Linked DNA regions of Cricetulus griseus. The main gene of each other region encodes a partner of the protein of the gene in region 3 in a complex. Links are inferred from orthologs where the notes say so. Each region holds a gene or a part of one and is shown on either strand. Other genes may lie near its edges.

Region 1 (3,509 bases), on a different chromosome or scaffold from region 3:
TGATGAGAGATTAAAAGAACACTTGCAACATGTGTAGCATATTTTCACACTATGGCTTGCTCTCTGGAATTCCCTTCTCTGCTAGAAATGTAGTTTATCTGCTCTATCCTTAAAGTGGGGACTGAGCACTTAGGACCACTGAAACTGGCCACCATAAAAATGAGTAAATAGTCAAAATAATTATTTATGTAGTTTAAATTGATAAAAGCTATAGAACATAGTGTTATATTATGCAGCAAAATTCTAGAGGGATTGCCATGGAGAATGATGAAAATAAATTGTATTCACTAATATAGAAAATAAAACTTAGCCATTGTCAAAAGTCTCTGGATCACATTACGTCCATAGATAAATCACTACAGACAACATTGCTTTAAATACAGTGGGGTTATTCTGTAGTTGACTCTAAAATATTCAATAAATAACAGCCATGAGCATTTTTATTTAAAAAATCATAACTAGCAGGATTGACTTTTGTCATTTCCTAAATAGGATCAAGACTTTATTACAAAGGATGAGAGACCATGTTTACATAAACTACATGCTAGCCCATGACATGGAGAAGTCAAAAGTAGTTCATACATTAGACTATTCTTCCTCTATTCATAAAATTCTTCTTTCAAAATCAGGCAAAAATACAAATGTGAAAGGCAATACTTGCTGTAGTTTGGCAAGAAACAGTTTTTCCTGCTAAACAAACCTACTATATGACTCAAATTCCTGTAGAGGCTACAGCTTCTTCTGTTCTCTTTTCATCATTTCATCAATCCATTTGACTTTAAAGGAGCCTTTAGTAAGAAGAGACATCAAAAGAAATATGGAAAGCCTGGGCTCTGTCATCAAATTTTAATCCCAGAGCGCTCTCTCTCTCTGTCTCTCTGTCTATCTCTCTGTCTCTCTCTCTGTCTCTCTCTCTGTCTCTCTGTGTCTGTCTCTCTCTGTTTCTGTCTCTCTCTCTCTCTCTCTCTCTCTCTCTCTCTCTCTCTCTCTCTCTTCCTTCCTCTCCCTCTCCTTTCCTTTTGTTCTGTTTCTGTCTTCAGTTTTAAAAATATTTTCTCCAAAACCACAGGCTAGTAACATGCTTAATAATTCATTGGAAAGCAGAGTGGTGAATAGGGGCTGAGAATTTGAAAACCAAGGTAAAGAGGCAGTAATCAACAGACTGGCCAACAACAACTCAGCTTTGAGCTTGGTTATTAAAATAATAAACTGTATAAGCTGCTGCTGCCTCTCTGATCTCATTCCCTTAAATGACTTCAACTGTCCAGTCTTAGAATTCTGTCAGTTTCAAATTTTTGTTAGTGAGATTCCTTACTGCGTCATATAAAGGTCGGTTTTTTATCTGCCATCTATAAATTTGAGTGTCTCAAAATGAAATGATTATTATTACCACAATGTAAGCTTCTGAGATTGTAGTTGTCCCAGCATAGGATAAGTGTAAAGGTTTTAGGAAAGTTTGTACAATCACACATCATTCTTCAGATTCCAATCATGTTATTGATCAAAGCACCTGCATATCTCAGTGGCAATCTCTCATTCTGAAGGTAGTTAATTTGTCTTCCTATCAATGATGTTCATTCTTTCCACTGCACTTGCAGTTTTAGAATCAGGAAGGTAATATAGGAATGCCTGACTGGACTGAAAATGGAACTAACCTATGCATGAGAAAGCAGGAAGATGAGCACTTCTACACTTTAATATTACAACCTAAGAAACCTGCTTACCAGTCCCCATCTGATACTAGCTTGTAGACATCAGATGAATATTGACCCATGTGACCATGCATATGTGCTCACTCTGGCTTTGATAGAATAACTGATATATATATATATATATATATATATATATATATATATATATAGGTTCTTTCATAGATTTTGTGTGTCGACTGAACAATATTTATAGAGATATAATCTAGACAATAGTAAAAGGAATATAAAAACACAGCAAAATCAAAGATAAAGAAGAAAATTAAGATGTCCAATAGCATTTATTTCCATTTCAGAAAAAATCACCAGAAATAACACTTTTATTGTTATTTCAAATATTTGATAAATCATGAAGCTGATAATTTAGTAAACTAAACCTTGTAAGAAACAATGTGCAACAGTCAAACAAGATGGGCTTTTAAGATATACATAATCTATTTAAACATAAATATGAGGAAATACTGTCATTTTTAACATAGCAATACTGTTCTTATTATATTTCATGGTTTAATTAATTGCATTTTTTCTGTTCTTCTCATGTTCCCTTTCATCTTTATTGCCATGCATTTAACTCATTGTGATGTGTTACCACTGGTATTTATTTTAACTCTTTGTTTACACATTCGTTTGTTTCATTTGATGGGTTTTTAACCCAGATCCCACTGACCCAGTTGATTATTATCCTTTGCTTGATGATTTCCCCACCTCGGGCCCAGATGTCTCCACCCCCATGCTCCCACCAGTAGGTGTACAGGCTGTGGCTCTTACCCATGAGGCTGTGAGGGTCAGCTGGGCAGACAACTCTGTCCCGAAGAACCAAAAAACATCCGATGTGCGACTTTACACTGTCCGATGGAGAACCAGCTTTTCTACCAGTGCCAAGTACAAGGTGAAAGTCAAATTGATTGCATGAAATTTAAAATTATCTTCCATGTGTTGTTGTTTTCAATGTATCCTGGCCTGTCGAAAAACACTCTTCTACAGTGATTTTTACGAGGCATTTTAGTAATTGAATATCTAAAGTTAGTTAAGAAGAATTATTCTTTTGGAAATCGACAACAGTTAAGGTAGAAAAATATCAAGAGCTGCAAAATGATGTCTGAATACCACCAGACACTGCCTGAACCTGACTTTTGCTTCTGTAGGAAAGAAAGCCATTTTCCTTGGAAATAACAGGACTCCAATAACATCTTGCGAATAGATACTGATATGATTCCTTTTATTTGGAACCTAGATTGCTCTCTTAATAATACACATACGCACACACACACACACACACACACACACACACACACACACACACACACACAGAGAGAGAGAGAGAGAGAGAGAGAGAGAAAGAGAGAGAGAGACAGAGAGAGAGAGAGACAGAGAGAGACAGAGAGAGACAGAGACAGAGACACAGAGACAGAGACAGAGAGACAGAGAGAGAATAACAGGGAATACATGATGTGAAGATTCCTTATAACATCCTAGGAATGTTTTGAAAGTGATTAACATCAATTTCCTTACTTAGCTTTGAAACCGTCTTCCTGTCATAAGGAAACTCCCTTAAATGAACCAGACTTATACCAGCCTCCTGTTTGTATAATAATTTCCAAATCATTTAATACTCATTCCAGGGAACCTTAGTGATATTTAAGAACAGTCATTTCACTTTTCCATCTCTCTTGCCCAAGCTTGGAGATTCTAACAAAGAGTTACTAGCAAAGAAAGGCATATAGCCTTCTAAATCCCAGACCATGTTAACATGTTTAATTGGTAGACAGTGTCAACAAATTAGAAAGATCAGCATGCACC
Region 2 (3,943 bases), on a different chromosome or scaffold from region 3:
ACTATGTACAGGCCATCATCCTGCTTCGGTCTCCCAAATAGCTGGGACTATAGTCACCTTGCCTGACTGACATTACTTATGTCCTTAGAATTATTGCCACTTGACATGCATGTCACTTACTACTGTCTGACTGCCTCACCCCAAAGTAACTCCAAAGAGGACAGGGATTATGGCCCATCTGGTCCACTGCTGTAGTCCATGCCTAGCATGCCATATGTCTGCAAAAGAGACACCTGCCAAGGGCCACCCCACTCACCATGAGGTTAGCGTTGGCAATGTGGTGCTTGACCATACCTCCACCAAGGATGATCATCCCAGAGCGCTTGGCGAAAATAGCCTGCATGTTGATGAGTCGAAGGTCTGAGAGAGAGAGCTGTGTCTGCATCTGGCCTCATTGGGCCCTCCTCCCTCTTCTCCCAGGCCCTTAGCATCTCACCTTCAACGATGTCCAGAACTAAGCCTGGGTTTTTGTAGGAGTGGAAGAAGATCATGTCACCCAGTGAGCCATCTGTGAGCGCAGGGCTCAGCACAGGAATGTGGTTCTGGTGTGGACACACAACCAGTTAGCTACAGCTCAAACCCAGAAAAAATGCCAACCAGTGGCATCCCTCCCTCCTTCCCTCCTTCCCTCCCAACCCGACCAGGCTGCTTGACTTCTCTGGTGGACATGAGGCAGATGAGAGGAAAACTGTACATGCCTCTAAGAAGGTGTCTGCACTCTGAGCAGTGGTTCATTAGTTTCCACTCTTGGAACTCCACTGTCTCTGGAAGCATGGTACCCTGGGTCAGGCCCCAGTGAGTTCTTAAGCACTACACCTAAGTGGTCCCAATAGTGTGAGGGCATAGCTAGGATATCAGAACCCTTCATCCAACAGACAGATTACCTAGCCTCTGTTTGACACGCCTCATCTAAGTCTGGGAAGACTAAGAATAATTATAGAGACTCCCAGGTGGCTGCAAAGACAAAACAAGTCAGCACATGCCAAAGCCTAGGAATGTCATCCCTACCAACCCACCTTATGGGCCCAATAATACACAGATTCTGGGTTGTTGATCTCCTTGCCAAGCCGGGAGATCATCTTGGATGGTGTCCACTTGACACCCTACAAGAAGAGAACATCAGTATTAGCCCATATATGTCTTATGACTCTCCTATGTAGGTCTTCCTGAACCCTTCCAGCCCTACCTCTGTGTTCTGCTCCAGCACCATCTGGTCCAGAATGGGCATGAGCCAGTCTTCAAACTTGCAGTAATTATCATTTGGCACCAGCAGGTTCCCAATCCTGGGGATCGGAGGCACATGGGCATCAGTCATCACGACCCTCAGTCCAGCTTCCCTGCCCCCATCACTACTCAGGGCCCACCTGTTGATCCCATTCTCCCGGAGCTCCTTCCCACTGAGGCTGAACTCGCCAAGATATGTGGGTGCCAGGCACTTGATGAGGTCTTCTTCCACACCTCCAGCCGTGGTCACCAACACATCCACCTGTAGTCACAGGCAACAACACTGACCCTGACTGTAAGCAGCAGCACTCCTACCATCAGCCTGAGCTCATCCTGACCCCAAGTCTGTTCCTCTGCTTAGAGCAGACCCATAGCCAGAAAAAGTGGCACACTCCTGTGATCTCACCACTCAGCAGGCATAAGGACTGCCAGCATCCAAAAGCAAACATCCATCTCCTAACATCCTTTTTTTAAAAATTTTTTTAATATGTGCGGTGTTTTCCCTACATTCCTGGAAATGGCGCTGCAGACATTTGTGAGCCACCTCATGGGTGCTGGGAAGCAAACCCAGACCTTCTTCCACAAGAGCAGCAAGTTCAGCAGGTTCTTAACCTCTGAACCTCTTCAGACCCCTCTCCATTTCTCTGAAATGAGCAGTAACCTTATTATCCATTAGCCCAAGGAGGTTGAGGCCACAGACATAGTGTGGACTCACCATGTTGTGCTGCACAAGGTAGCGAATGGTCTCACGGATGCCTGAACTGATGAGGTTGGATGTGTAGCCCAAGAAAATGGTGCAGCCTGTGAGTGGGCGGCGGCTCTTCGTCAGGTCCTCATGATGGTCTTCACCTAGTGCCAGCGGCTCCAGCTTCTTCTCAATCTGCACGTGAGGGAGGGCACAGCAAAGTTGCACTGACTCCAAACCTCAGTCGAGGAACCCCAGGCGGCCTGGATTCCAGAGTTTGATTGTACTCAAGGATTCAGGACTACTTCAAAACCAAAGCACAGCCGCTGTGCAGATCCTAGCCCTGCCTTCCCCAGTCCAGGTCTGTCACTTAGGGATGTCACTAGGAACCACACAGTGTCTTCTTTTCAAGTCTCCTTACACTGGGAAAAGTGACTCCAAGGCTCTCCGGGCGTTAAGCTCCTCCTGTAATGCTCTTCTATTAACCCCTATCCCCCCATCCCAGAACACAAATTTACAGGACACTCAGGAGAGAACGCGGGCTGGCGGGGCGGCCCACCCTCTCGTCCCGCTCCTGGGCGGACCCGGCCTTACCATGGCGTTGACTTGCTGCACCGCGCGTCCAAAGTTGGTAGCCTGGAATCCGGTGGTGCCGAAGGCCTCCAGAAGGGCGTGATAATCCACGCCGCGGTTGAAGTCGTAACCCTGCACCTGGGCGCTCTCGGGCGGCAACGCCGAGCTGTGCTTGAGCACAGCGGCCAACGCCGCGGCGGGCGCCACCCCCTGCGGGGTCCCCTCCATGCGCCTGCGGCCGCTCACAACTCACAGCCGCTTCGCTGCCTCGGGACGCGCCGAACCTCTCGCTCAGCGTGGTCGGCCCGAGTCCAGGAAATGGGACTGGAGAGCCTGGGGGCGGGGCGGGGCGACCGGAAGCTATTTAGTCACGTGACTTTCGATCGCGCCTGCAGTCCTGGTAGCGGCCATTTTACGCCTGTGCTCCGTACACTGCCGTTATTCCCTGAAAACGGACTCAGTTTAAAGCGGATGAAAGTGCCTCCTTTGAAAGTTGTCTGTCCAAATATTCCTGCCCCGTATGAGTGAGGTGACTATTCCTAAGACAGAGCCCTCAGACAGGATTTAGGGCATCAGGCAGCCTCTTGTCAAAGGGAATAGCTACTCCTTTTGGTGCCTTCCCAAGTCCCCCTCCAGCCACACCCGTCACCTTCCACTGAACCACGGGTCCTTTGTGGGAGGGAGGCATGGCTATCATCTTTGTACCCCAAGAAGCGACAGGAGCACCTATTCTTCTGTAATTTGCGTAGTCTACACTAAATAGTGCTCTTTGCACCGGGCGGCAGAGGCAGGTGGATCTCTGTGAGTTCGAGACCAGCCTGGTCTACAAGAGCGAGTTCCAGGACAGCCTCCAAAGCCACAGAGAAACCCTGTTTCGGAGGGGAAAAAAAAAAAAATCTCAGTACTGGGCACTGAGCTCCAACAGTAAACAAGACCTCTGCCCTCCTGATGTCCCATAGTCTGAATGATGCAACAGAAAATTGTGGTTAAGCCAGGCTCAGGGCACACACCTGCCAGCCGTTAAGAGATAGAAACAAGAGAATCTCAAGTTCCAGATCAGCCTGAACAATAGAGTGAGACCATAACTCAACATAAGGGGATGGTGTGGTAAAAGAAATAGCTGTCAGTAAAGCCCTTGCTTTGCAAGAGTGTGAATTGGATGTATGTATTCAATTCCTAGAACACAAATTTAAAAAAAAAATGGCTGTGAGGGCAGTGCCAATATTTCCAGCTCTGGGGTAGCAGAGACAGGTAGATCCCTGGGGACTTGTAAGATGGCTCAGTAGCCAAAGGCACATGGTCTTCTGACCTCCACAAGCACACCATGCATGCACATGCTCATACATGCACAAAATAAAAGGTTTGGGGACCAGATGGATGTCTCCTAAAGAATGACATCTGAGGTTGTCCTCTGGCCTACACACACACACACACACACACACTCACACTCAAATATGAAGG
Region 3 (4,094 bases):
AGCTGAGCACCCACCACCCAATCTTATCTTTTTGTCTTCTACATAAGGAAGGGGAATCTAACCAAAATAGGCACAATTTCCAATGAACTACTTTAGGGAAAACCCTGCTAAAGGATAGCTGAAAATCCCTTAAACATTTTTTCATGGTTTTTAAAATTATTTTTTTAGTATGTTTATGTACATATGAGTTTTCTTTGAACCACATATGTGCAGATGCCCTTGGAAGTCAGAGGGTCACCTAATGTAGATGCTGGGATCTGAAGATGGTCTTGATTGTTAAGCCTAGCTTTTTAAAAGATCACAACTATTCAAGCAGGCATTTAAGGTCAAGATGTTCTCCATAAACCCAGCTAATGATCAAATGCTAATGACCTATAATTAAAAATATTCTACAAATACTAAGATGTTATCAACCTGGAGATAAAAGGATGGATCCAGGATTCAAATTCCAATTGTACCTGCATTTTTTATTTGTTTGTTTTTTTTTTTTGAGACAGAGTTTCTCTGTGTAGCTTTGGAGCCTGTCCTGGCACTCCCTTTGTAGACCAGGCTGGCCTGAACTCACAGAACACATGCCTCTGCCTCGCCTCCTGGGATTAGAGGTGTATGCCGCCACCACCACCTGGTCTACACTTTTCTTAAAATTAAAATTTGTATTTTTAAATTTAATTTATTTCACAAATATGGGTATTTCCCTCAAATTTGTGTCTAAGGAACATCTGATCCTCTAGAACTGGAGTTACTGACAGTTGTGAGCTTGCAGGTGGGTACTGGGACTAGAACCCAGAGCTGCAACTGCTCTTCACTGCTGAGTCATCTCCCCAGCCCCTAAAATTTGAATTTTAAAGAGAACTTTGCACAGCAGCTGTAAACTTCAAAGGTTAAGTAACTCCACAGCAGCAATAGCACCAGAATCTAAATAATCCATCTTATCAAACAGAGGTGGTTGTGGGGAGTCCAAATGACATATCCTCAATTTTTGTGCCTATTTAAAATAAGCTAGTTTTTAAAATAAATGAAACTATAACTGGCAATCTTCAGTATAATAAGAGAGTTACTGGCATGCAGGTACAAGAGCAGCAATATGTGCAAGACAGATGTGAAGGGGAAGTACTTTTTTAAGTACTCCTTTATAAGTCTTTAATTGTGACCTAATTTAATTTGTTTTGACTCCCAAGACCAGTTCACCTTTATCTTCATAGTTGTACACTGTGAGTCTTTTTAAAAAGAACGTTAATTATTCTATCTAGTTAAGACAGTTGGTGGAAAACACGTCTTTCCTACCATTTCTAAAATTATGACCATTCAAATTTGAATGCATTTCTGAAATAGACTTGCTCATCAGGAAAATATGCTAAAGTTCCAAGATTATTACTAACATTAAAGAAAGGCATGTGTAATGACTGAAGAGCTGCAGCATTTGAAACAGGATCTGTCTATAATCAGAGCCTGGTTCTAGTCCTTCGCCCTTGGGAAAGGACTTCCTTTCTATACCTTATCTGAAAGAGGGTATCTTTTTCCTCAAGATGGCTATCCAGACAAAATTAAACTATTCGGATAGCAGAGTATCTCAGAGACCTTCAATAAATTAGTTTTCTTCATTTAGCACAAAAGACACAAATTTAGGGGTAAGAAAACCTACTCCCACAAGTTTTCAGTACAAAACACAAATACTTGTTCCAGTAAAAACAACACACTTCATCATTCCACAATCAGGTGAGAAATCCTACAAGTGACCATGCAAAATTAGGTCTGAAAATACTCGATGGTAACGAAGGAGTTAAAGTCAAATTAGGCCCAATTCCAAATACATCTTAATAACTCTTTAAGAGTGATGCTAGCTTATCCTTCCTGCAACGCAACGATATTTACATCCATTTTGAAACTTCAAGATTTAAATATCCTCACAACCAACGCTGGTGTCATTAATGCTTTTTAGAAAGCCTAAGTTGGAACGCATCATTAGCTCCACTGAAGATATTTTGTGAAAGCTGTTCACGTATACACAAGGAAGGGAAGAAAAATATTTTGGTGTTCAGCACACAAGCCGAGGATTCTCGCTTGCAAAACCACGGCCGCCTCCACCACCACCGACAAGCCTGTGATGGAATTCCTGGTTTTACGATCTAATGTCAAAGAAGGCGGCTATAATGCCATAAATTAGGGGACACGGTGCACTTCCGTTCCCGTCCCAAGGGAGAAGACTCCAAAGTACGAGCTTGAGACCAAGTCCTCGGGTCCTGACCTCAGTGTGGGGTGCCCCTCCAACGGCAAACGAGGGGCAGCCCAGGAAGCACCCCAGCAACAACTAAGCCTCGACGGGCTCCGTGATTGTGGACCAAAGAGGAGTCAGGGGTCCAGGTCGCTGCAGAACGCGAGGCCAAGGCGCGGGAAGGGCCGCGGCTGCGTCCAGAACAGCCAGGGGCACAGGCAGGGGTGACCGGGTGAGGCCGAGCTTGCAAACCGGAGTAGACACTCACCAAACCATGCCGTAGGCGCCCTCTCCGATGTACGAGAGGTTGGTGTAGCGCGGCCCCACGTCGAACACCTGCCCGCGGACCATCTCCGGGCCCGCCGCCGCCGCCGCCGCCATGTTGGCTGCCTAGTCGCCGCCGCCGCGCTGGGCTCGACGCTTCGCGGCCGCCGCTCGGCTTGTGCAGCGCCTCCCGCAGGGACCGCGCTGCCACCCGTGTAGCCGCCGCCGCCCGCGACCGGGAACGCGGAACGAAGACAACACAGAGCAAAGAACTGACCGCCAGTGAACCACTGCCTGCCTTCCTGCCTGACGGGCGGGCAGCGAGCGGGAGGAGGGAGGGGCTGGCGTCGAGGGGCGCTGGGGCGGAGTCAAGGGCGTGAGCGCTGATTGGCTCCTCGCGGCGCTGGGCGGGGTCTCGAGGGCCGGCGGAAGCAGCGAACTGAGGCAGGAGCACTGCGGCTGCGGGGGAGGGCCGTCACGTGCGTTTGGAGAACCGGGCGTTCAGTTTGTTTGGTGGCTCTTGAAAGCCTGGTGGAAACCTGGGCGTAACGACCCCACAGTGTGTCCGACCGCTGTGCGGTGCCCAGGACGAACTCATGTGGAACCAGGCACTTGGCGTGAGACCGGAGGACTCAGCATACACCAAGCAATGGACCCCTGAGACAGGCCTCTGGGAATCCGTGGCCCTCACACTAATGAACTTAGACTGCCAAACTGGGACAGAAACCAAAAAGCATGACCCAGACTCAGAAAGATATTTTCACACCTAAAAAGTGTGAGACATAAGTGGAAACCAAAACACAAGGCATTGAATCCCCTAATTAGAGGTTTGTTCAAGAAGATTTGCTGAATACTTCTCCCTTCTAGGGTGAAGAGACAGACAAATACGATGCTCACTTAACTAAGTGCTGTGAACAATTAAAAACTGGAGGGAAGGTTTACAGAGTTGTGGGTGAGGACGCTGGAGAAAGACTGAAATCCAGGGACTGGACCCAGGTGTTGTGTAACCGTTTCCTGCGAGATTGAAACATTCTATCCTGCAGAGAAACTCCTTAAACAGGAAAGTAAACGGCACAAAGGAACTTTGGGAGTCCTTGAAACTGACCAGATTCACCGGGTTACTCCTTGCTGGAGTAAGCAATAAAAGTTGAGAATCCCTGTTCGATGAACTCCACGGAGCTGCAAAGAAGACTCAGCCAAACTGCTTAGAAGAAGCAGAAATCAGCCTCCTGCCTCCTGCCTGGAAGAGGTCTAGACCAACTTAAATAGCTGGAGGACACTCTTCAACTTTGCTGGTATCCATACTCATCTGTAGTGACTAGGTGTGTATTGTGTCTTCTCAAGAAGTGTTTTGTCACACAACACCAGCTTGGTACAGATGAGCAGAAACCCAGATGGGCGTACTGAAATATAGCACAGTTAGAATGGCTGAAACATCTGAACAAGTTGTGGGTCAGAACCAGTCAGAAACACGAATGAACCCGAAGAAAATTGTAATCTTAAAGTAGGTGGGTGCCAAGGAGAGCAATGGTAAGATAGTGAATGACACAGTTTGTCTCTCAGGCATTACTACCCTGTCGTCCCTGGACGCAGACTCCTCTGTGGCCAGCAAATGAGA
Region 4 (4,170 bases), on a different chromosome or scaffold from region 3:
ACTGCAAGGGTCTATTAAATTATTCTCCAACTGTTGTGCAGCTAACAATGGAGGTATTCAGGCATTTTAAAAGAGAGGGAAGTCACAGGGGACAGCCATTAGGAGGAACAGGATGTCTACATGGCCTGAAAATGAGTTCCTTTGTAATAGGAAATGCACTACAATGCCTGGAGATTCGCTTCTCTTAGGCTCCTAGCCCACAGTTCTTCCTGCTAGATATCAGGTTACCCAGAGTCTCACTGTTACCAGCAAGCACACTGCAGTATCATTCAACCGGGTAACATTCAGTATTCACACTGCTTTCCAACAACTAACTTGGGTGTCCTAAAATAACTCCTGGGTCTTTTTCAAAATTATAATAAAGTGAAGTGCTTCTCTTTACTCACACCCTCGTCTAGAAACATATAAAAACACTGATTGGGAACAGCCTCCTTTTAAAAGTACGAATTAATGTTTCATCAAACAGACCCATGATCTGCTATGTCAAAGGGCCCTGTTTCCCTTTAGCAAAAAGGTAAACCACAATTTAAAACCCTCTAGGAACAATAGAGACCTGCAGTCCAGCAAAATAGCTTGCAGGAAAAGAGATTATCATCTTCAACTCTATGAATGACTGTAAATTAGTCTCACCTATGAAAGAGATGGCCTCAGGGAAAAACTGGGACAGGTTTTGGCTCCAGTGATCCGAAATAGGGATTTGCTTGTATTTGAACTCCCCTGCATTCTCAAAGAGGTTGGGCAAATTGGGGGTGACATTCAAGATGTACTTGATGCCAAACTCCTCCAACACGTCCAAATTGGTAGAGTCCTTGGCACAGCCCAGGTAAAGGAAGGGCAAAATCTCCACCGGGAAGGAAGGCTGGCTGTTGGACAGCGGGCTGCCATCCGAGTCCGTTGCACTGTTGGGGTCTCGGTCAAGGTCAGACTCAATGTCTGAGGAAGAGTCGGAGCTGATCCTCAGGCCCCCGAGACCCAGCACTGGCAAGGGCGGGGAGCTACTGCTGCACGAGCCGTCTAGATTGGTCTCGCAGTGCAGGGAGAACTCGGCCTGGAACTTACTGAAGCCACCTGCCAGAACAAGAAAAGCAATCTTGTAACCAGAGATGCAGTAGTAATTTTCAGCCTGTGAGAACCGCAGCTGGGTGCAGGAAACACTACAGGCCCAATGAACCTCCTGCAGTCCTAAGAGACTTCAGTATGCACCTTTAGAAACACAACCGGCTGCTCTCCCCCCCCCCCGAACTCTTTAATTCATCTGAATCCGGAAATGCACAAAATGATAACTTTTCTTAATATTTCGACCCCCAGCCACCTTTCCAGTTTTCCAGATATTTGAAATCGAACCAAAGAAATCGTGGGGAACGTAGAGGTGCCTGGTTATACAGAACCCTTGGCGGAGGGGGGTGGAGTACCAGAAAGGAGGCTACCACGGGGGCCCAGCTTCCCTAAGCCGAACGCACGCCGTGGTCCCTACCTCGCCGGCGGCTTCCCCAGCATGCAACCTTACCCGAGAGTTCTGCACCCTGGGTGCACAACGTACCTTCCAGGTAGAACGCCCGGCAGCCCTCGTCTTTGAGTTTCTTGAGCAGCAGCCCGAGGACCGACTCGCCACCTGTGTTCTCATTCCAGTCGCTGCTGTTCTCGTCGTAGAGCACCACGGTGTCGGTGCCGCAGCGTCTGGTAAAGCGGTCCCGGTCCTCGCAGCGCGTGAAGAGCGCGCGCACCGGCAGGTTGCCTTTCTGCAGACGCCGCAGCATGATGCCCGGGATGGCCACGTTGATGGCCGTTTCGATGTGCGACGACTCGTACAGCTCCTGCGGTCGGCAGTCCATCAGCAGCAGCCGTTCGTTGCCCAGCTCCAGCTGCTCGTTGAGCCACGCCACCGTCTTGCTGATCGCCATTTCCGACGCGAAGGGCACGGGTCTGAGCGTATCTATCATGGGGGTCGAGCTGCAGGAGAAGGCGGGGTGCCTAGCAGACGCCCCTCAAGGCAGGCATAGGCCAAGCACGCTGCGCGAAGCTGCCGCTCTCGGAGCGGGGTTCGATTCTGCCTCGCCTTTCCCAAGCCGAGGCTAGCGGTTAGGGAAAGCGACCCAGGAGCCAAGCCGGTGGTCCCTCTGCACCGGGCTGCAGGGATCACTCTTAGAATCTCTCTGAAAAGATACCCAGTTTTGTTCCTCCTCAGTGAATGAAATCCAATTAATTCGGACTCCGTGCCACTGAGAGAGGAAAAAGAAAACAAAACAAAAAGTCTAGCGGCTCCTAACCCTTGCTTTCCTGTGAGGCTGCAGTTCAGATCCAACCCGGTTGGATTCAAGACTCCGTTTGCCCACAGTCCCCAGGACTCGGCGAGAGCACACCCCCTGCGCGAGGCAGCTCCTCAATGGATACAAACAGCCAGCGTCTCAATGGATACATTCTCTCGGCCAGCCAATGAGAGCGCTGCGGAAGGGGCTGTTGCCGTGGGGACGGGCCGGCTGGAACAGGTTGTGTTGATGAATTGTTAATGAGTTTGTCATTCACAAAAACGGAAAGGAATTTCCGCTCCGGATAAGCCCCAGTGCAAACAAGCTGCAACTGCGGGCTCGGCGGGAGGAAGGAGAAAGAAGAGGAGGCGGTGGTGGAGGAGGAGCAGGGCAGATAAACCAGGGCACTTCAGTTGTCTCGTGTTTCCTTCGGTTGAGAGTTCGCACTTTGCGTCGAAGTCTTTGCGCACCAGTGGTGCAATTAACAACTACAAAAGCCCTTTTTCGCGACGCTTGCGCTCTCTCAAACTAGCTTTAATAAAACTTGGTGGCTCCCCCCCCTTTGTTTTTATTCCCTTAAAACTCTAGACCCGCCAGAGCCCCTCTCCCCGTCCTCCTTGAGATCATGTGTGGCATTTGTTTGGCTCTTTTAAAAGTCTAGTTGTTTGTTCTCATGTTCTTTTAGCCGAGGCTGTGTTGGGGCTGGTGAACTGCCTGGGCTTTAGTGACCCGACGAAGTGTTAAATGCTAATCCAAAGTCTTTCGAAACAAACTAGGGTTTTGTTGAAACATTTTAAAGCAAGTAAGCAAACAAGCATTTGGTTGTCCAGAAAACCAGAAGCTCCCCAACCACGAGTTTTCTCAACTTTTTTTTTTGGGGGGGGAGGGGGTAGCCCTACACTTTTCTTTTGCTCTGGTGGCGTGGGGGTATTCTAAGCCATTGTTCCGAAGATCTTGCTCCCCACCACCGGTCACCCACCGAGCCTGGGGAGTCGTGCTCCTTTGGGGCCGGGAGCCGAAGTTTGCCTTCTAAGAGGAACCGGTCTGGCAAGCCAGCCTAAGTGTCTGGCTTCACCAAGGATCCCCGCAAGCGGGGAGACGAGGCGCAGTCCTCCCGCAAGACCTGCAGGCTGCGGGAACGCAAGTGAAAGCGGCGACTGGCAGCTGTGGACACCGAGGCCGGTGCCCTACCCCTCCTTGGTTAAGCGGTGCTGGAGCCCCGCACAGAGCACTCTAGAAGCTCCAAACGCGCTTGCGCGCTGCGCTTCTGGCCACAGCCCCGGCGCTCTGGGGAGGGGGTCACCGGGACCACCCCGTGATCGCCTATAGGGCCAGCGCAGAACTGTCGCCTTGGGAGAAAACTAGTACAGATTTAGAGCTTTACCCAGAGGAGGCCGCGTCTGGACCCCTGGGTTCCCAAGTTAGGGTGGGGAGTTTCAAGGACAACCTCCGCTGCCCGTACCACCCGCAGGCAACTTAGGACGGAGGCGGCGCGGCTCCGGAGCCGGATGGAGGCGTGGCCGGCGGGGGCCGCGACGGCGACGAGGGCGCATTCCCGGCGCGCACAGCTCTATTGTTATATAAAAGTGCCGAGGCCGCCCCTCCCGGACGGAAAACCACCTGTGTGCGGCGGCGGCGGGCCCTGCGGAAGGCGCGGGTCCCGATCCGGTCTGCCCTCCCGGCCCCACGGAAAGGAATCGCTCATTGTCCGGCCGCAGTCGGGAGGCGGAAGCGCGGGCTGCGGCCCTTCCCGAATCCGGGGCGCGGAGGGCGCCTAAGGTCACCGGGTCTCCCCAGCCGGGCGCCGCGCATCCCGGTCCTACCTGCTGTCACCCGCAATGCAATTTGCATTGTGAATCACCCTCCTCCTCCTCCTCCTCCGGGGTTTGGGAAATGTGGGCTAAACGGGGCGACTTCAAGGTCC
Region 5 (4,261 bases), on a different chromosome or scaffold from region 3:
ATGAGTGTTCTCAGAGCCTTGGGCTCTTCAGGCAGGCCGTGAGTCTGGAGGCTCAGCCCAGGGCAGGACCCATGTGCTGGGCTGAATTCAGACCACAGTTTAGGAAGCCACTGTAGTAGTCTCCAGGACTCAAGTCTCTGAAAAGCAGGGCGTGCAAGGCCTGGGTCTGTCTGTGTGAATTCACCTCTACCACACAGGCCCACAGTAAACTTCTGCAAATGCTATCTTGTAACCACTGTCTATCTCCTAGTTGCCAGGGTGGTGTTAGTATTTCTCTGTTGAAAGACGATGTCTCAAGCATTGTTGTTCCTCCTTGGCTGAGGTGAGTTTTTTTTTTTTTTAATTTTTATTTTATTTATTTTTGTCAAGACCTCATATAAACCAAGCTAGCCTAGAACTTGCTATATGGCGAAGACTGGCCTTGTGTTCCTGATCCTCTACTTGTGCCTCCAAGTGCGAGGGTTATTAGAGGCCTGCACCAGTATGCCTAGCTTCAGAGTTCTCCACCCACAAGGACACCACCCCTTCACCCCCGCTGTGGTCCTTACTTGGCAAGATGGTCTTGTATCGGTCCTTGGAAGCATGGCCAGGGATATCCAGGTCTTCAGGGGTGACAAAGTTTGAGGGGATCTTCTAGTGAGAGGAGTAAGTGAGTTAACATCTGGCCCCCTTCTCACCCTCCCTTTCTCCCTTTCCACCCTCTGCACACAGAGCAAGGATGGGGACAACCTTCTCTCCTGATCCCTGGAGTTGTTCCCTAAGGACCACAAAGAGAAGAGAGGCCCAAGGAATCCATGATGGTCTGATATAGAAGGGGACCCCAACTTCTTACCAAGAATTCCTCCTCCAGTTGCTTGGGGCTGGGTGGCTGGTGCTGTAGACCCCAGCATGTAAGGGGGTGTCCGGCTGTGCGCAGAAAGTGTATGGTGACCTCCCTGGGTGTGTTCACTGAGCAGATGGGTTCCACAGTGCCCAAAGACCGCACATCCAGCATCAGAGCCACACTGGAGCCCCTTCTGCAAGCACAGCCATCCAGTGCCCAGTGAACATCCTGGGTCATTGGCTTGCCACAGAGCTTGTCTTAGGAGGCCACAATTAGTCTTTCTCTTGACCTAGAGGCTCAGGGCACTCAGGGGTCAGGTCCTTACGACGTTCCCCTTTCCTTTTATCAGATAGAATGGAGTAGGCTGCAGCTCTTATGCCTCTTCCTACTGCCTACCTCTTCTACTCCCAGGCTGGCACAGAGGCTCCAAACCAATGCTGTGAAGGCCCCTGGACTTGTCCCAGAGATCACTCATCACAACTTGAGACTTTGGGACATGAAACTTGGTGCCTCAAGCAACATGCAAATGAACACTGTTAGTTTTCCTTCTAGGCCTTGAGGACTCTGTTGTTAGGACAGGAAGGCTGGGTATGAGGAAGGAAAGAAAGCAACCCAGGTCTAGGAAGACTTTCTCTGTGAGAGACCTCACCTCTCCTGCAGCCGCACATGCTTCTTGGCTGGAGCTTTGGTGGGTGGAGGTTGGGTCATGGCTTCCCCCAAAGACAAGGTCGGTGGCTGTGGTCTGGAACACCCCTCACAGGTCTGGACCATGCTGGGCTAGATTGCTGGGCTCAAGGAAGGCTCACTCAGCCATGAGGCCTGCCTGAAAGACAAGGCCCTATATTTGCTGGCCTCTGACTTGCCTCACTGGCTAGAAGGAGCTCCTAAGCCCAGGCCAGCCATCCTATTGGTTTTTACTGGAGGCATCTTCTCTTCCCAAGGAAGTGGCCTAACTTTTTTTTTTTTTATCCTGTAAGTACAGGAGCTCTTCGTTGGGATGCAGGACAGGGGACAATCTGGAGTTAGAGGAGGAGGGAGATATAGAGTGTAGGTATGAGTAGAGACAGGAAATAATCCGGAAGGAGGAAGAGAGTGGTTACCCAAGTCCACAGGGCTCCAAGCTGGCGTCCAAATGAGAACAACAGACTGCCGACCACACAGAAGGAAGGGAGAAAGCCCACAGCGTTCTCAGTCTGCCAACAGGCTTCTCCAGAATGAGAAACTGAGGCCTCTAGTAGCGTTGGAACCAGTTGGGGACCCAGGCAGGCCACACTTCTGGTAGGGTCATTTCCTAATTGCTGGCAGCTCTACCCTAAGATCACTTGTGGCTTCTGGGGTCTCTATCCAGGGTAGTATGCTAGGGGTGTTTCCTTCCTCCTCCGTCCCATCCCCCAGTCTCCCGCCTCTGTAACCGTCACAGGAAATGGCCTCGCCAAGCCTTAGAGCGCCAGCGCATGGTGAGGCTACAGCTGGGGGTACAAGAGAGAGAGGGGGGGGGCACAGAGGTGACGAGGGCATCTCCTTTGGGGGCAGTCCCTGTCACCTAGAACTAAGTCACAGGTGCTGTGGTGGTGGTGTTAAAGCTGCTAACCTACAGGGACAGAGGCCTGGAACAGTGTGGGCCCATGCAGGTGTGGCGGGGACAGCACTCTCCTGTGACAGGAATAGGCCTTTTGCTCCTCTTCTCCAGGCATTCTGTATGGCTCTTCTGTCCTCCAGCCACAGGGACACCAAATATGCCACTACTCATGCCTGGCCAGACATGGTAGCCCCAAACTCATGCTCCCTCACTCCATCCTCAGAGACACCCTCCTGTTTCCAAGGCTTCCCCACCCCAGGGCCTTAGTATGCCTGTGCCCACTTCAAGTACTTACTGAAGCAGCTGTGTCCCCCAGGCTGCCTCTTGCCAGCTGTCTGTCAGTCCGTCTATCTTTGAGGACTGAGAGGCTTCAGGAAGCCAGCTTCCTCCCTCCGCCCCTCCTGGCTTCCACCCACGCACACCCAGCTGCAGGCTGCCCTCCTGCGCCTGCTGCAGCTGCCACCAGGGGTCGGGTGCATCCTCCCTGTGCCCTCTAAGAGCAAGCTGGTGGTGCCGTGCCATCCGTGCTGGGTGCAAAGGCTCTGAGAGTGGACAAGGGATGAAGCTTTCCCTGACCACTCCAGGTCTGTACCTCCAGGTTCTTTATCATGCCCCCCTCTATCTCCTTGCTAAGAAGATAACCATAGGGAACCTTCAGTTCCTCTGGTTGAGCCCTTGGCTAGAGACTTATTTTCATGTCTCAATTCTGCCCCTGTAAGCCCTTGCAGCTTCAAAGCCTGGCAATTCATGGCCAAGCCCAGGCCATAGTAGATGGGCTGCAGAGTTACAGTGGGGGAAAGAGGACTCCTTGTTCTATACAGGAAGGAGGAGCCCAGAGCTAAGAAGGGAGGGTCTCCTCCAGGCTCTGAGTCCCTCAGCCTGCAGGCACAGGCTAGTTGCTGGCGAACAGATAGTAGAGCTAAACTGAAGAAGAATCTGGGGTTGTTTTCTAGGAACCCCTCAGACTGCCCCTTGGGGAGTGTCTCAGAACCCTGCATCTATCTCCTTAGAAGACTTACAGAGATAGTTGAAGGCTGTGGCCCTCACATCAGGGACTTCCAGTGTCCTCTTCACCACTGCACCACTTGGATGCTTGGGATGTGGGGAGGGAGCAGACCCCAAGTCTAAGGCTCCACAGTCCCCGCCACCCTGTCTGGCTTTGGCAGGCCCCTTGCTGGCCCAACTGGCTCAAGGTTCATGTGTGCTTGCAAGACTTTTTTTTTTTTTTAAACTCTGTAATGTTCCCAACACCCTTCCTGGCCTCCGGAGCTCGCATTCCCTATCCTCTCTCTCCCTCCTACTTCTCTGATTCAACTGTCAAATGGTGACACCAAAAAAGAAATTCTGTACAGTAGGCACAGGGGTGGCACCTGAGAGGCGGTGGGAGGAGGGGCTGGCCTTCTTCTGGCCCGTGGGGAGGAGGTGAGGACCAGGCATGACCTTTTGAGATCAGAAGGCTTGGGACACCTGTGTTTGTTTTTGGCAGTAAGTCAGAGGATGACTCTCTGCAACCTCTCCAGGGCTGGTTGATTCTGGCTCCCTCTTCTTCGTAGCCTGTTCTCCTCAGAGGAATAGGTGGGCTTTCCTGAGGAGGAAGCTCAGGAGAGCTGGGAGGTAAGGGCCGGCTCTTGTGCCAAGATGACGACGTGATAGAAGCAGGAGCCTGGGAATTCCTGCACACTTGTGTACAGTGACTGGAGCCTGGGCTCTGCCTTGACCTCCCCACAGGGGTGTTAGTGCCCTGGCAGATAGTGGAGGGCTGGGAGTGGAGACCGAGGGCCACCCGCCCTGGGCCAGCTGTTGATGACAATGAAGAAAAGGAAGTGAGGACACCACAGGGGTGAGGTGGAGGAAGTAGG

What was found.
Region 1: the proteins of Mapk1 (region 3) and Dcc are in contact, whole or in part, in a crystal structure (PDB 3O71), measured with the Rattus norvegicus proteins. The link is inferred for Cricetulus griseus from reciprocal best matches to the Homo sapiens genes MAPK1 and DCC. Residues at the interface, in NP_446294.1 of Rattus norvegicus: Glu107, Thr108, Leu113, Gln117, Leu119, Asp122, His123, Tyr126, Phe127, Asn156, Thr157, Thr158, Cys159, Tyr314; in NP_036973.1 of Rattus norvegicus: Arg1149, Pro1150, Pro1151, Asp1152, Leu1153, Trp1154, Ile1155, His1156.
Region 2: the proteins of Mapk1 (region 3) and Dhps are in contact, whole or in part, in a cryo-EM structure (PDB 8PVU), measured with the Homo sapiens proteins. The link is inferred for Cricetulus griseus from reciprocal best matches to the Homo sapiens genes MAPK1 and DHPS. Residues at the interface, in NP_002736.3 of Homo sapiens: Tyr113, Tyr187, Ala189, Thr190, Arg191, Trp192, Arg225, Lys231, His232, Tyr233, Leu234, His239, Lys259; in NP_001921.1 of Homo sapiens: Arg159, Glu160, Asn161, Asn164, Asn173, Glu174, Tyr176, Cys177, Glu180, Asp181, Met184, Asp188, Asp243, Phe247, Tyr250.
Region 4: the proteins of Mapk1 (region 3) and Dusp6 are in contact, whole or in part, in a crystal structure (PDB 2FYS), measured with the Rattus norvegicus proteins. The link is inferred for Cricetulus griseus from reciprocal best matches to the Homo sapiens genes MAPK1 and DUSP6. Residues at the interface, in NP_446294.1 of Rattus norvegicus: Glu79, Glu107, Thr108, Leu113, Gln117, Leu119, Asp122, His123, Tyr126, Phe127, Gln130, Thr157, Thr158, Cys159, Asp160, Tyr314, Asp316, Asp319; in NP_446335.1 of Rattus norvegicus: Arg64, Arg65, Leu66, Gln67, Lys68, Gly69, Asn70, Leu71, Pro72, Val73, Arg74.
Region 5: the proteins of Mapk1 (region 3) and Ptpn7 are in contact, whole or in part, in a crystal structure (PDB 3D42), measured with the Homo sapiens proteins. The link is inferred for Cricetulus griseus from reciprocal best matches to the Homo sapiens genes MAPK1 and PTPN7. Residues at the interface, in NP_002736.3 of Homo sapiens: Thr185, Glu186, Tyr187, Val188; in NP_001351807.1 of Homo sapiens: Arg124, Tyr125, Lys126, Ile128, Asp257, His258, Ser292, Ala293, Gly294, Ile295, Gly296, Arg297, Gln335.

What each region holds. Positions count from the first base shown.
Region 1 is NC_048595.1:168,280,122-168,283,630, forward strand, and holds part of Dcc (netrin receptor DCC), read left to right. Parts: intron 1-2,365; coding exon 2,366-2,598; intron 2,599-3,509. UniProt on the Homo sapiens protein: Receptor for netrin required for axon guidance. Mediates axon attraction of neuronal growth cones in the developing nervous system upon ligand binding. Its association with UNC5 proteins may trigger signaling for axon repulsion.
Region 2 is NC_048596.1:159,293,432-159,297,374, forward strand, and holds the start of Dhps (deoxyhypusine synthase), read right to left. Parts: upstream 2,803-3,943; 5' UTR 2,711-2,802; coding exon 2,504-2,710; intron 2,105-2,503; coding exon 1,940-2,104; intron 1,487-1,939; coding exon 1,365-1,486; intron 1,284-1,364; coding exon 1,187-1,283; intron 1,104-1,186; coding exon 1,017-1,103; intron 543-1,016; coding exon 437-542; intron 361-436; coding exon 257-360; intron 1-256. UniProt on the Homo sapiens protein: Catalyzes the NAD-dependent oxidative cleavage of spermidine and the subsequent transfer of the butylamine moiety of spermidine to the epsilon-amino group of a critical lysine residue of the eIF-5A precursor protein to form the intermediate deoxyhypusine residue.
Region 3 is NC_048597.1:72,356,852-72,360,945, forward strand, and holds the start of Mapk1 (mitogen-activated protein kinase 1), read right to left. Parts: upstream 2,809-4,094; 5' UTR 2,594-2,808; coding exon 2,481-2,593; intron 1-2,480. UniProt on the Homo sapiens protein: Serine/threonine kinase which acts as an essential component of the MAP kinase signal transduction pathway. MAPK1/ERK2 and MAPK3/ERK1 are the 2 MAPKs which play an important role in the MAPK/ERK cascade.
Region 4 is NW_023276806.1:164,932,411-164,936,580, reverse strand, and holds the start of Dusp6 (dual specificity protein phosphatase 6), read right to left. Parts: upstream 2,804-4,170; 5' UTR 1,941-2,803; coding exon 1,541-1,940; intron 1,069-1,540; coding exon 631-1,068; intron 1-630. UniProt on the Homo sapiens protein: Dual specificity protein phosphatase, which mediates dephosphorylation and inactivation of MAP kinases. Has a specificity for the ERK family. Plays an important role in alleviating chronic postoperative pain.
Region 5 is NC_048598.1:54,117,292-54,121,552, forward strand, and holds the start of Ptpn7 (tyrosine-protein phosphatase non-receptor type 7), read right to left. Parts: upstream 2,802-4,261; 5' UTR 2,698-2,801; intron 1,647-2,697; 5' UTR 1,595-1,646; coding exon 1,473-1,594; intron 1,017-1,472; coding exon 833-1,016; intron 634-832; coding exon 549-633; intron 1-548. UniProt on the Homo sapiens protein: Protein phosphatase that acts preferentially on tyrosine-phosphorylated MAPK1. Plays a role in the regulation of T and B-lymphocyte development and signal transduction.